Saccharomyces cerevisiae S288C: one gene and its partners. Each later gene encodes a partner of the first gene's protein in a complex. Each region holds a gene or a part of one and is shown in the gene's direction. Other genes may lie near its edges. The genes, in order: MRPL13, MRP35, MRPL6 and IMG1.

Evidence for each region.
Region 2: MRPL13 (region 1) and MRP35 share a complex: the UniProt entries of both Saccharomyces cerevisiae proteins name them as parts of the mitochondrial large ribosomal subunit.
Region 3: MRPL13 (region 1) and MRPL6 share a complex: the UniProt entries of both Saccharomyces cerevisiae proteins name them as parts of the mitochondrial large ribosomal subunit.
Region 4: MRPL13 (region 1) and IMG1 share a complex: the UniProt entries of both Saccharomyces cerevisiae proteins name them as parts of the mitochondrial large ribosomal subunit.

The regions. Positions count from the first base shown.
Region 1 is NC_001143.9:449,892-453,026, reverse strand, and holds MRPL13 (mitochondrial 54S ribosomal protein mL50 MRPL13), read left to right. Parts: upstream 1-1,809; coding exon 1,810-2,604; downstream 2,605-3,135. Other genes in the region: RSC4 (Rsc4p), read right to left, coding at 1-826; MEH1 (Meh1p), read right to left, coding at 1,039-1,593; YKR005C (uncharacterized protein), read left to right, coding at 2,860-3,006, 3,076-3,135. UniProt on the Saccharomyces cerevisiae protein: Component of the mitochondrial ribosome (mitoribosome), a dedicated translation machinery responsible for the synthesis of mitochondrial genome-encoded proteins, including at least some of the essential transmembrane subunits of the mitochondrial respiratory chain.
Region 2 is NC_001146.8:397,491-400,025, reverse strand, and holds MRP35 (mitochondrial 54S ribosomal protein bL35m MRP35), read left to right. Parts: upstream 1-1,655; coding exon 1,656-2,003; downstream 2,004-2,535. Other genes in the region: protein channel TOM70, read left to right, coding at 1-1,342; NMA111 (Nma111p), read right to left, coding at 2,348-2,535. UniProt on the Saccharomyces cerevisiae protein: Component of the mitochondrial ribosome (mitoribosome), a dedicated translation machinery responsible for the synthesis of mitochondrial genome-encoded proteins, including at least some of the essential transmembrane subunits of the mitochondrial respiratory chain.
Region 3 is NC_001140.6:392,139-395,073, reverse strand, and holds MRPL6 (mitochondrial 54S ribosomal protein uL6m MRPL6), read left to right. Parts: upstream 1-1,790; coding exon 1,791-2,435; downstream 2,436-2,935. Other genes in the region: SKG6 (Skg6p), read left to right, coding at 1-619; snoRNA-binding rRNA-processing protein IMP3, read right to left, coding at 989-1,540. UniProt on the Saccharomyces cerevisiae protein: Component of the mitochondrial ribosome (mitoribosome), a dedicated translation machinery responsible for the synthesis of mitochondrial genome-encoded proteins, including at least some of the essential transmembrane subunits of the mitochondrial respiratory chain.
Region 4 is NC_001135.5:209,361-211,993, reverse strand, and holds IMG1 (mitochondrial 54S ribosomal protein bL19m IMG1), read left to right. Parts: upstream 1-1,570; coding exon 1,571-2,080; downstream 2,081-2,633. Other genes in the region: ARE1 (sterol acyltransferase), read right to left, coding at 1-65; BUD23 (18S rRNA (guanine1575-N7)-methyltransferase), read left to right, coding at 449-1,276; RRT12 (Rrt12p), read left to right, coding at 2,384-2,633. UniProt on the Saccharomyces cerevisiae protein: Component of the mitochondrial ribosome (mitoribosome), a dedicated translation machinery responsible for the synthesis of mitochondrial genome-encoded proteins, including at least some of the essential transmembrane subunits of the mitochondrial respiratory chain.

The DNA.
Region 1 (3,135 bases):
TGTAAATCAAAGCGCTTGGATCATTGAATATATGAGCATTCTGAAAAACTAAAAGCATATCAATGATGAAATCATATATCTTGGAATACTGACCAATTTCGAGGTTCTGCTTTACGATCGATAAAGCCATGGGGCTATGCACTATTTCATAATATTCAGGAAGTTCATCTTTATCGACTAATTCCATAAACGGTTCACTTAGCTTGACTTTGTCGTCTAAGTTTTTAGGAGATGACGCACCCAGCAGAGCCTGGTTGATTTTCTTTTCCGTGGCGTCAACTAGCTTATTAAGATAGTGCAGTAATTTGGCTTTGACCTCGCTGTTAATTAAGTAATTTCTTTTCAAATTTTTTGCCTTCAATACTTCAAATTCAATCAACATTACTACTTGCATGGAGTTTTTTACAATCAAACTGTCATATTCATTGTAAGCTTGACAATTCTTTGTCAGTAGCTCAACATCCAAAAGAAAATTACTTGGACCATCTTCGTATTCATAATCTCTTGACTTGATTTCATTAATAGACATTGGCTGCTGGATCTTGTAATAATACTGTGGATGAAACTTCCTACTTGGTAGTTTGATGAAATCTTTGAAAATATCTTTGTATTTGTCGATAAGAACATCCAAAGTGAAACTAATAAATCGATTAAATTTAGGTATATGCCAGTCATCTAGAAAAAGTTCAGATTTAGGGTTTAATGGGGCGTTATAATCCACATGCGGAGTTTTCTCTTGGTTTTTAGGATGTTTTCCCGGCAAGTATTTAGGCCTTTCATCACTGCCACCGGCCTCAGTTGCCAACTTACGCTTCTTAACTACCATATCTGTGTACTTTATCTATTATTCTTTGGTTTGCTCTCTATTGTAATAACAGGCTGAGGGTCGTTTTAAACATCATCCTCTAGCATGCTTTTGTTGTTTTTTTTCTTGGGCTACTTGTCTTCCGAATTCGTCAAATGTGATTTTTTATTTCATTAACTATTTAACATTTATTTATAAAGCTTGTATACCAATGATGTTATACAAAAAGTTCATTAAAAGGGAACCGTCAAGGGGCCTGGTTTGTTTACCTGGGACTGGCTGAAAATTTCATTTAGTATATTAGAGTGCAACTTCTTTAACTGTTCCTTTGATATTTTCGCTGAATCCGGTGATGTAAGCAGAGTAAACGTATTAGTCCTTGGTGCAGTTTGGTGAGTAGTTGCCTGTGCGGATCCGCTTGAAGGCACTGAGTGCCCACTGAGGTTGTCATCACCTGCACTCCTTTCGTCTTCCCGGGAATCTCCACCTTCTTCCTGTTGTCTTTTATCAAGAGCTTCTTGCAGGTCTGTCCCTTGAATTACAATGCCACTATTGTTTATCATCGATATGTCTATTAGTTTATCGTTGGTGTTTGCAACAATGTCTCTTAACTCTTGTTCCCTGGCCAGCAGTTTCTGTTCGTGTTCGTGTTCCTTCAACCGCATTTGTTCGGCATCGTATTCGTCATTTGCGTTTCCTTGACTTCCATAGCCTGCCTGCTGTTCCCTCAGCAAAGCTTCATTCTCTTCGCCGGAATGGTTTCTACAACAGCTGAGTACGGCTCCCATTTTTACGACTTAAATCTGTCGTTGTATCCACTACCGCTATACTGGATTCGTACTCTGTGAATGCTCTCTTTTATTCTTCGTTCTTTATCGCTGCTGGTGAGGCGGGTAGCTGACAAATTTATAGTGAAACAACGACTTCTGTCAAATTAACTGCATGCCTGATCATCAGTCCTGAAGTGAATAATGGGTAGACGGAAAGGCGGACATAGTATGAGGATGTCGTCACTGCTTAAATTACATTGTATTAGACCATTGCCGCAAAGGTCGGTCTGGCTCTCTGGCTACAAGCAGAAAGCCAGATGTATTCACAGTTCCGCTGCAAACGGGGACTTTATGTCATGGTTCAAGAGGAAGAAGCAAGAAGAGCACCAAGAGCCTGTCAAGGACACCAAACAGTTGATAAAGGATATTGAAGAAGGCACTAACGAGGCTTCCTCTCAATCCTCTTCCAATAACAAAAACAGATTGGAGCTAATACCAGAAAATTTTATTGGCGAAGGGTCTAGACGGTGTAAGAGACAGAAGGAGTTGAAGCTTGCGGTCTCCTCTGCGCCATTCAATCAGTGGTTATCCAGGGATAAGATTACGTCTGATAATCAGTTAGATGATATGATATTGCAGGCAACGGAAAAAACATTGGGCAAAGTAGACCAGGACGTCCAATTCTCTGATTTGGTAGCTAAATTTCAGTTCACCAAATTTTTGCAATCTAAATCTGGCTATCTAATTCCTGATTATGAACTGACCACTTTAAGCACACCCTTGCAGTTTAAAAGGTATATTAAGGAAAAAATTTTGCCATCTGCCAACGATCCTAAACTCGCTTATAAAGAAGCTGAGCCAAATGCTATCCACCCATTTTCTGATAATTACGCGTCACCAAACATATATGTTGTTAACGATGTTACTTCTAAAGAGCAAAAAAGTAAATATGATACTATTATGAAAGAAATTCAAAAGTTAGAGGATGATGCAACAAGAAAAGCTTTGGAAACAGCAAGATCCGCTTAGCTTATGTTAATACTATTATTACTACTATCATTACATTTTAATATCCTGTACATATATATACTCTTTGAAGAAGTTTGGATTTTTCTTTCCCATTATAGATCACTTTTTTTTTTTACCTTATCTTTTCTGTAAGTTCTTTTTGTGGCTATATTTCCTCTTTGGCGGCTAACTCAAGAAGCAGTAAGGGAATAATTCGTTACACATTACAGCTAGCTAAAATCATCAAGAGGCAGGAACACACGAGATATACTGATAATGTTGGAATGTCTAAGCGCTCTGCTGGTTCTCTTTGCCGGTGGTGGTGGGAGCGTTCTCGCAGCGGTTCAAAGCAAAACTGTGGCAGATCCTAACTTATGTCCAGGTTACAATTCACAACTGATTTCCCCCTTCCTCTCCAGTTGCGTATGTACAACAAATTTACCGAGGTACTAATATTCTCTAGATTTTATTACTGACAAGATCCATGTGAAGAAACGAAATTTAAGTGAATGCGTGTCCCGTTATTTTGATGAACAATATGCATTTTGTCGG
Region 2 (2,535 bases), on another chromosome or scaffold:
AAGAGCTTCTGCTAACGAAGGGCTAGGAAAATTTGCGGATGCGATGTTCGATTTGTCTGTATTGTCTCTAAATGGTGACTTCAATGACGCCTCTATTGAACCAATGTTGGAGAGGAACTTGAATAAGCAAGCTATGTCTAAATTGAAAGAAAAGTTTGGCGATATTGACACCGCTACTGCTACTCCAACTGAATTATCCACCCAACCAGCTAAAGAACGCAAAGACAAGCAGGAAAACTTGCCTTCAGTTACATCCATGGCCTCTTTCTTTGGTATTTTCAAACCCGAGTTGACTTTTGCCAATTATGATGAATCCAATGAAGCTGATAAAGAGTTAATGAACGGTTTAAGTAATTTGTACAAAAGATCTCCCGAAAGTTACGACAAGGCTGATGAGTCTTTCACGAAAGCTGCAAGGTTATTTGAAGAACAATTGGACAAGAACAATGAGGATGAAAAGTTAAAGGAAAAATTGGCCATCTCATTAGAACACACAGGTATTTTCAAGTTCTTGAAAAACGATCCATTGGGAGCTCACGAAGACATCAAGAAAGCTATTGAATTGTTCCCAAGAGTCAATTCATATATCTACATGGCATTAATCATGGCTGATAGAAATGACTCGACTGAATATTATAACTACTTCGATAAAGCGCTGAAACTGGACTCAAACAATTCTTCTGTTTACTATCACCGCGGCCAAATGAATTTCATTTTACAAAACTATGATCAAGCAGGAAAAGATTTTGATAAAGCTAAGGAATTAGACCCAGAGAATATCTTCCCTTATATTCAATTAGCATGTCTAGCGTACCGTGAAAACAAGTTTGATGACTGTGAAACTTTGTTTAGTGAAGCTAAGAGAAAATTTCCAGAGGCACCAGAAGTTCCAAATTTCTTTGCTGAAATTTTAACAGACAAGAACGATTTTGACAAGGCTTTGAAGCAGTACGATTTGGCTATTGAATTAGAAAACAAGTTGGATGGTATTTATGTTGGAATTGCGCCTTTGGTCGGTAAAGCCACTTTGTTGACAAGAAATCCAACAGTAGAAAATTTTATTGAAGCCACGAATTTATTAGAAAAAGCGTCCAAACTAGACCCAAGAAGTGAGCAAGCTAAAATCGGTTTAGCTCAAATGAAATTGCAGCAGGAAGATATCGATGAAGCTATTACATTATTCGAAGAATCCGCTGATTTGGCTAGAACTATGGAAGAGAAATTACAAGCCATTACTTTTGCTGAAGCCGCTAAAGTTCAACAAAGAATTAGGTCTGATCCAGTATTGGCTAAAAAGATTCAAGAAACTTTAGCTAAATTACGCGAACAGGGTTTAATGTAAACAGTAAACATAAACTTAAAAACTTTTAGGAGAAGACAAAAACTAAGTAACAAAGTAGACTAAATGACAAAGGAAGAGCAGCAATGACATTGACATCTCACTTTGAAAATTTTTGTTTTCATTTTTGTTTCAATATACACGTATGCATGTTCTAATATATATATATATATCTTTTTCTTTTTCTCTTTCATTCTGTAAATAATTAGCAGTGCGTATAAACCACAACCAATTTTTTCAACCTTGAAGCCCTCGCCAATTTGCGGAGCCTAAAAAAATCTGGTCAAATACAAAAAAGATAGTATATATATCTATCATGAAAATTAGCTTGCATAACAAACGGCAACGAGGAGACCAAAACCAAAACATGTCTGTTTTCAATGTACTCAAACCACTACTTAAAGGTTCAAATAGTTTCAAAGTGAAGCTCAACGGCTTTCTATTCAATAACGTTTCTACAATAACAATAAGAACTTTAATGAAAACTCATAAAGGTACAGCAAAGAGGTGGAGGCGTACCGGTAATACTTTTAAAAGAGGCATAGCTGGAAGAAAACATGGCAATATAGGCTGGTCCCATAGATCATTAAAAGCCTTAACCGGAAGGAAAATTGCCCATCCAGCTTATTCAAAGCATCTAAAGCGGTTATTACCCTATCATTGAAGGTGGAATAATTATGTTCTCCTCTAAACCAAACGCACCGTTAACCCCAAATCAATTGTTTGAGTATTTGCTTTCGGTCTTCATGTATATAAATAAGTATGAAACAATAACCATAAATTTATACAATCGATAATACCTTAGAGAATTCAAGCGTTGAAGTAATTAAATACTATTTCGTCAGGCGCTTGCAACCATCTCGACATCATAATCCTAACCCCTCAAAATGATTGAAAAACTTGTAAATCTTAACGCTCCTGTGATAGTCTATAAAAAAACTGTTCTTTATGGAAGACTTTGATGTATACATACATACATACATATATAAATGTTTTATCAAATCTGGCCTATTTTTCACTTTGGCTGTTGCCGGTAAATTCCTTTTCAATCCATTTGTGCGTGATGTTGTCCCTCTTCAATTCTGCAGTAGGGAAGTAATGATAATTCGTTTTCAGTGAAATAGCGAAGGGCACATTGTCGAAAGTCATTAACCTCATTTTACAATAACTATTATCAGGGATTGTTTTGACAACTT
Region 3 (2,935 bases), on another chromosome or scaffold:
AAATCCACAATGGTACGGTGTACCAACTCCTCAACAACAGCAACATAATCATCCTCAGACCCTGGAAACTATTGGAGAATTACCAACTCCCGCATATTTAGCTCAATCAGCTTCCTCGCATTCATTGACCTCTTTTAAAAGACCAAACAAGCAACAACTTCTTCAATTACAGACTGCCAGACTAAACGGAACTGCGTTAAATCCGGTCGATCATCCGGAAATGTTTTATTCACCGACAAACGATGCCTATTATGCTCCACAGCAGCAAGGCCAATATATGAAGTTTAACGAAAATGGGGCGGTTCCTTCACCTTATCAACTTAGACAAAGTGTGGTAATGACCAATCCTTCGGATTTGACGGCAAAACCATCTTATAAGCCAGCAGGTTCTTTCAGAAGTGTAAGCGCAACCAATTCAAGAAATAACAGTCTGACCACACAAAATAATATCTATCTGCAACAGCAGCAGCAGCAACTGTATAATTCTCGTGTTAGTGGGATATTAGAAGAGACAGATGTTGTACAGCCACCAAGTGTTGGTGGAATTTTGCCACATAGTGGTTCACAGGACGATTTAAGAAAACAATTAGGCTCTTCACATAATTATACCGTCAACTGAAGTGTAGATAATGAACGGACAATTATCGGATATATAAATTGATGTTTTATTGGAGAAATTTTACAAATTGCGTATTTATACAAATTAATTTATGTTAAATAGGATTTTTTCGAAGTGTATTTTTAAGTTTTAAGGCATATTTAACAAATGACGCCGATGAGAAATTGTTTTGCGGTTTTTCTTATTTTTGCATACGACGAAGAAGTTCCTTTGTGTATATAACAATTTTTCATGCTTCCAGCTTTTAAGAAAGCTCAGGCGCCTCACATCATTTGTATTTGCTGCCTCGTTGCCTATTCGTAATAATTTCACAATGTAGGAAGATGATAAATCGAGTATTGATACAGAAAACGTAAGTTTGTAGTCAATTTATGAAAAATCAAAATCGTCGATTTGGTTTCTGTATCTCAACAAGGTTTTCTTGATCTTAGAGTTGTCCACCCAAGTAACGTAGTCCTCCATATTTCTCGTTACGAGGTAGGCTGGATCGTTGATCAAATTTGGACCCACGCGAACATGCCCTTGTTCAATGAACTTGACTGCATCTTGTATAGTTTCCGCCATTTTTAATCTATGCATTATTACAGGTAATCGCCTCCTACAGATGGCACTAACAGTAACTTTATTTTCCAGATCAGAAATCTTTGATTTAGTTGTCAGGACACCCATAGCGTATAGCTTGTCCAGTAATAATTGCTCATGTTTGCGACGAAATGGATCAGTGGGAGGTAATAATGATAATTTATTGGCAAGACGACGAATATCACCGCATATCCTATTGTATTTATGATAATCTTCACGATTCTGAATATGATATGTTCTCATGACCTGAGTGTCCCGGTGGCCTTGGTCCTGCTTCCATTCAAGGAAGTCTACTTTTTTCAATAACTTTTGCTCATGATGCTTTAGTTTTCTAACCATTATTGGTTGTGATTATGCCTGGTGGTTTATCTATTTAGAACGTTCTATATTACTTATCCCATTGAATTTTTGTTGCGATGAGCTTATATCAGTGAAATTTTTTTCACTGGAAGTAGAGGGTAATGAAAGGCGAGCGGAAATAGCGAGGAGACGCTACGGTTATAGAGGAAGAATATCAAATACTAGTAAGTAAGGGAAGATCACGCAATAAAGCTATCGCAAATCTTACTATAGGAATTGAGGCCAACCTATGTCATTTATTCAGAGGAGGTTATTGTCGCAAACACTTTTTCTGCGCTCTCAAGTGGGGTCTTTACCACTTTATATATCTCCTGAAGTTCAGGTTTCCATAAATGCATTATCCATGCCCAGGATTATCAGAAAAGGTAGAACTTCAATGAATATATCACAGAATATCACAGTAAAGGGACCCAAGGGTGAATTGTCCGTGGAGGTCCCTGATTTTTTGCACTTGGACAAGGATGAAAAGCACGGTAAAATAAATGTTACAGTTCAGAATTCAGAAGATAAACATCAACGTTCGATGTGGGGTACAGTAAGATCACTTATAAATAATCACATTATAGGTGTTACTGAGGGGCATCTTGCTGTCCTTAGATTTGTAGGGACAGGTTATAGAGCTCAATTAGAAAATGATGGTAAATTTGTCAACGTTAAGGTGGGTGCATCTATCAAACAAGGATTGGACGTTCCTGAAGGTATTGTTGTCAAAACACCTGCTCCCACGTCTCTGATTATTGAAGGGTGCAATAAGCAGCAGGTCCTTCTTTTTGCTGCCAAATTGAGAAAATTCCATCCACCAGAGCCGTATAAAGGCAAAGGAATATACGTTAACGATGAAACAATAAAGCTAAAGGACAAGAAAATCAAATAACTTCAGGATTTCAGTTATTTTCGTACTCATTTTCGTAATTTTTTTTATGACATGTATCTTTTCTTATACTTTATAGGGAATACCTTGTAAATATCCTATGAAAATAACTTAAATGAAATTTATATTGGTTATTAATGCGGTGACGTGTTCTTGCTTGGTAAACATTTTGGTGTTCAATGAAACTCTTGGCTTGCAACCTTTAATATATACTAGTTTCACGGAATATGAACGCAATAAGTAAGGCCACAGAAGTTCGAACCTTACCTTTCATTTTATACAGTTTCGAAAAGGGAACACCATTTAGACTAGAAACCAAATATCCTCTTTAACGTTCTGCTAATGCTATATATTTTTTGATTCCAACGCTAATAAAGATTTTTTTTCTTGAGTACTTTTCATGTTTTGTTGTAGAGAGCCCATTTAAAACAAAGATGTTTACCAGAAAACAAAAGAAAAGATCAAATAAGTGAGTAAATGAAATGCTGTACCTTCCAATTTCT
Region 4 (2,633 bases), on another chromosome or scaffold:
GCGGAATTGAGTCTGCGGATCTTAAGAAACTCTTCGTCTTGCAACAAATCCTTAGTCTCCGTCATTCTTGCAATCTGTTTTGGCGCTCTTGCTGCAAGCCGTGCTGAACAACCACCTGCGTGAGTGTGCCAATGGCGCCCCTTTCCTCCACCACGCTCGTCCTTCTTATATCATCCGCATGTTGCCAGGGTCTGCTGGGTGCTATTGTTCGCTAAACGAGTCCAACCACGGCCGGGTATTTGATGGCCAAGCCAGATTTTTTTTTTTTTTTCACTCTACACCATCTCACATTTTTCAATTTTATCGATAAAAAGAAGAGATGAGCAGCACATACATAGTGTGATAAAGAGGAAAAAAGCAGAAGAAGCAGAAGAAGAAGAGCATAGTAAAAAAGTAGTGCTAAAAAGGTGCGGTACGGAAACACAGGAAATATATCAGAGAAGAAATAATGTCACGTCCTGAGGAGTTGGCACCACCGGAGATTTTCTATAATGATAGCGAAGCACACAAGTACACGGGTTCGACCAGAGTGCAGCATATCCAGGCGAAGATGACGCTGAGGGCGTTGGAGCTTTTGAATCTGCAGCCGTGCAGTTTCATTCTGGATATCGGGTGCGGGTCCGGACTGTCTGGGGAGATTTTGACGCAGGAGGGAGACCATGTGTGGTGTGGTTTGGATATATCGCCCAGCATGCTTGCGACCGGTCTTAGTAGAGAGCTGGAGGGCGACTTGATGTTGCAGGATATGGGCACCGGGATACCGTTCCGGGCGGGCTCGTTTGACGCGGCTATTAGTATCAGTGCGATCCAATGGCTGTGCAATGCGGACACTTCATACAACGATCCTAAACAGCGGTTGATGAGGTTTTTCAACACATTGTATGCTGCACTGAAGAAGGGAGGGAAATTTGTGGCCCAGTTCTACCCGAAAAACGACGACCAGGTGGACGACATACTGCAGTCTGCCAAGGTGGCAGGGTTCAGTGGCGGGCTTGTGGTGGACGACCCAGAGTCTAAAAAGAATAAGAAGTACTACCTTGTGTTGAGCAGTGGGGCCCCACCGCAGGGGGAGGAGCAGGTGAATTTGGACGGTGTGACCATGGACGAGGAGAACGTCAACTTGAAGAAACAACTGCGCCAGCGCTTGAAGGGAGGCAAAGACAAGGAGTCTGCCAAGAGTTTCATTCTAAGAAAGAAGGAGCTCATGAAAAGACGTGGGAGGAAAGTTGCGAAGGACTCCAAGTTCACCGGGAGGAAAAGAAGACACAGGTTCTAGAAGAAACACACATCCTCACACGCATATTCTTTTGTATACTATAAAAATACACACTTATACATTTCCCTCTGTCTCTGTCTCCTTCTACATGTATACTTGTATATGTATACTTGTATATATACACTTATATCTGTATGTGAGTGGTCAATGGCTCCGCGCACTTTTATGTAGTGATGTATTTTCCTTTTTTTCTTGGTTTTCAATTTTGGTGCTTTGGAACTCCCAGTAAAGAAGAAGAAGAAGAATCGAGTCTTCCCTCTGAGCAGCTGCTGAAAGGGAGAGAGAACCATAGCGATGTGGAGCAGGAACGTCAGATTGCTTGGATCATGGACAAGGTCCTACATGGTCCCCGCCACCAAGAGAAAAACCATCCCCGTGTACCCACCTGTGCAGCGCATAGCTTCGTCGCAGATTATGAAGCAGGTGGCCCTCTCAGAAATAGAGTCTCTGGATCCCGGGGCCGTTAAGAGGAAGCTCATCAGTAAAAAGAACAAGGACCGCTTGAAGGCAGGCGACGTGGTCCGGATTGTGTACGACTCGTCCAAGTGCTCGTACGACACCTTTGTTGGCTACATCCTTTCCATAGACCGCAAACAACTGGTGCAAGACGCCTCGTTGCTGTTGCGGAACCAGATAGCCAAGACGGCCGTCGAGATTAGAGTGCCATTGTTTTCGCCGCTGATCGAGAGAATCGACTTGCTAACCCCCCACGTCTCGAGCAGACAAAGAAACAAACACTACTACATCAGAGGTACAAGGTTGGATGTCGGCGACCTCGAGGCAGGTCTAAGAAGAAAGAAATAGGCTAGGCGCGGGTTCTGTGGCCACCCATCTCCTGTATATAAGAAAAATAGTGCGTGTATAAAATCTACGTATACTAACTATGGGTAAAGTAAACCTTTTTGTACTGTTTTCTTTTTTTTTTTTTTGGTTTCCCGTAGTGATGACGTACGTGTATAGAGAATTGAAGCGAAAATAAAAAAAACGACACAAAATATTGTTCTCATTGGCTTTTTTATTTTCTATTTTACACAGCATATAGAGGTATACTCAAGTGCTAGACATCCTCTAACATCCGCCAAGAAAAACAGCAAAAAAACACTGGTCATGAAGCCACAGTGCATACTCATCTCTTTGCTGGTCAACCTCGCATACGCAGAGGAGTATTTGGTGAGGTTCAAAAATCCCACAGCATTCCAACAATTCACTTCGAATTCCAACAGGTCATGGAGACAGTTCATCGACAACAAAATTGAGAAGAAATTCTCCATCGGATCCTTCCGCGGCGTGACCATGAACCTGTCCAAGAACTTAGTGAACAAGCTGAAGAAAAGCCCACTGGTGGCTGATATTGTGC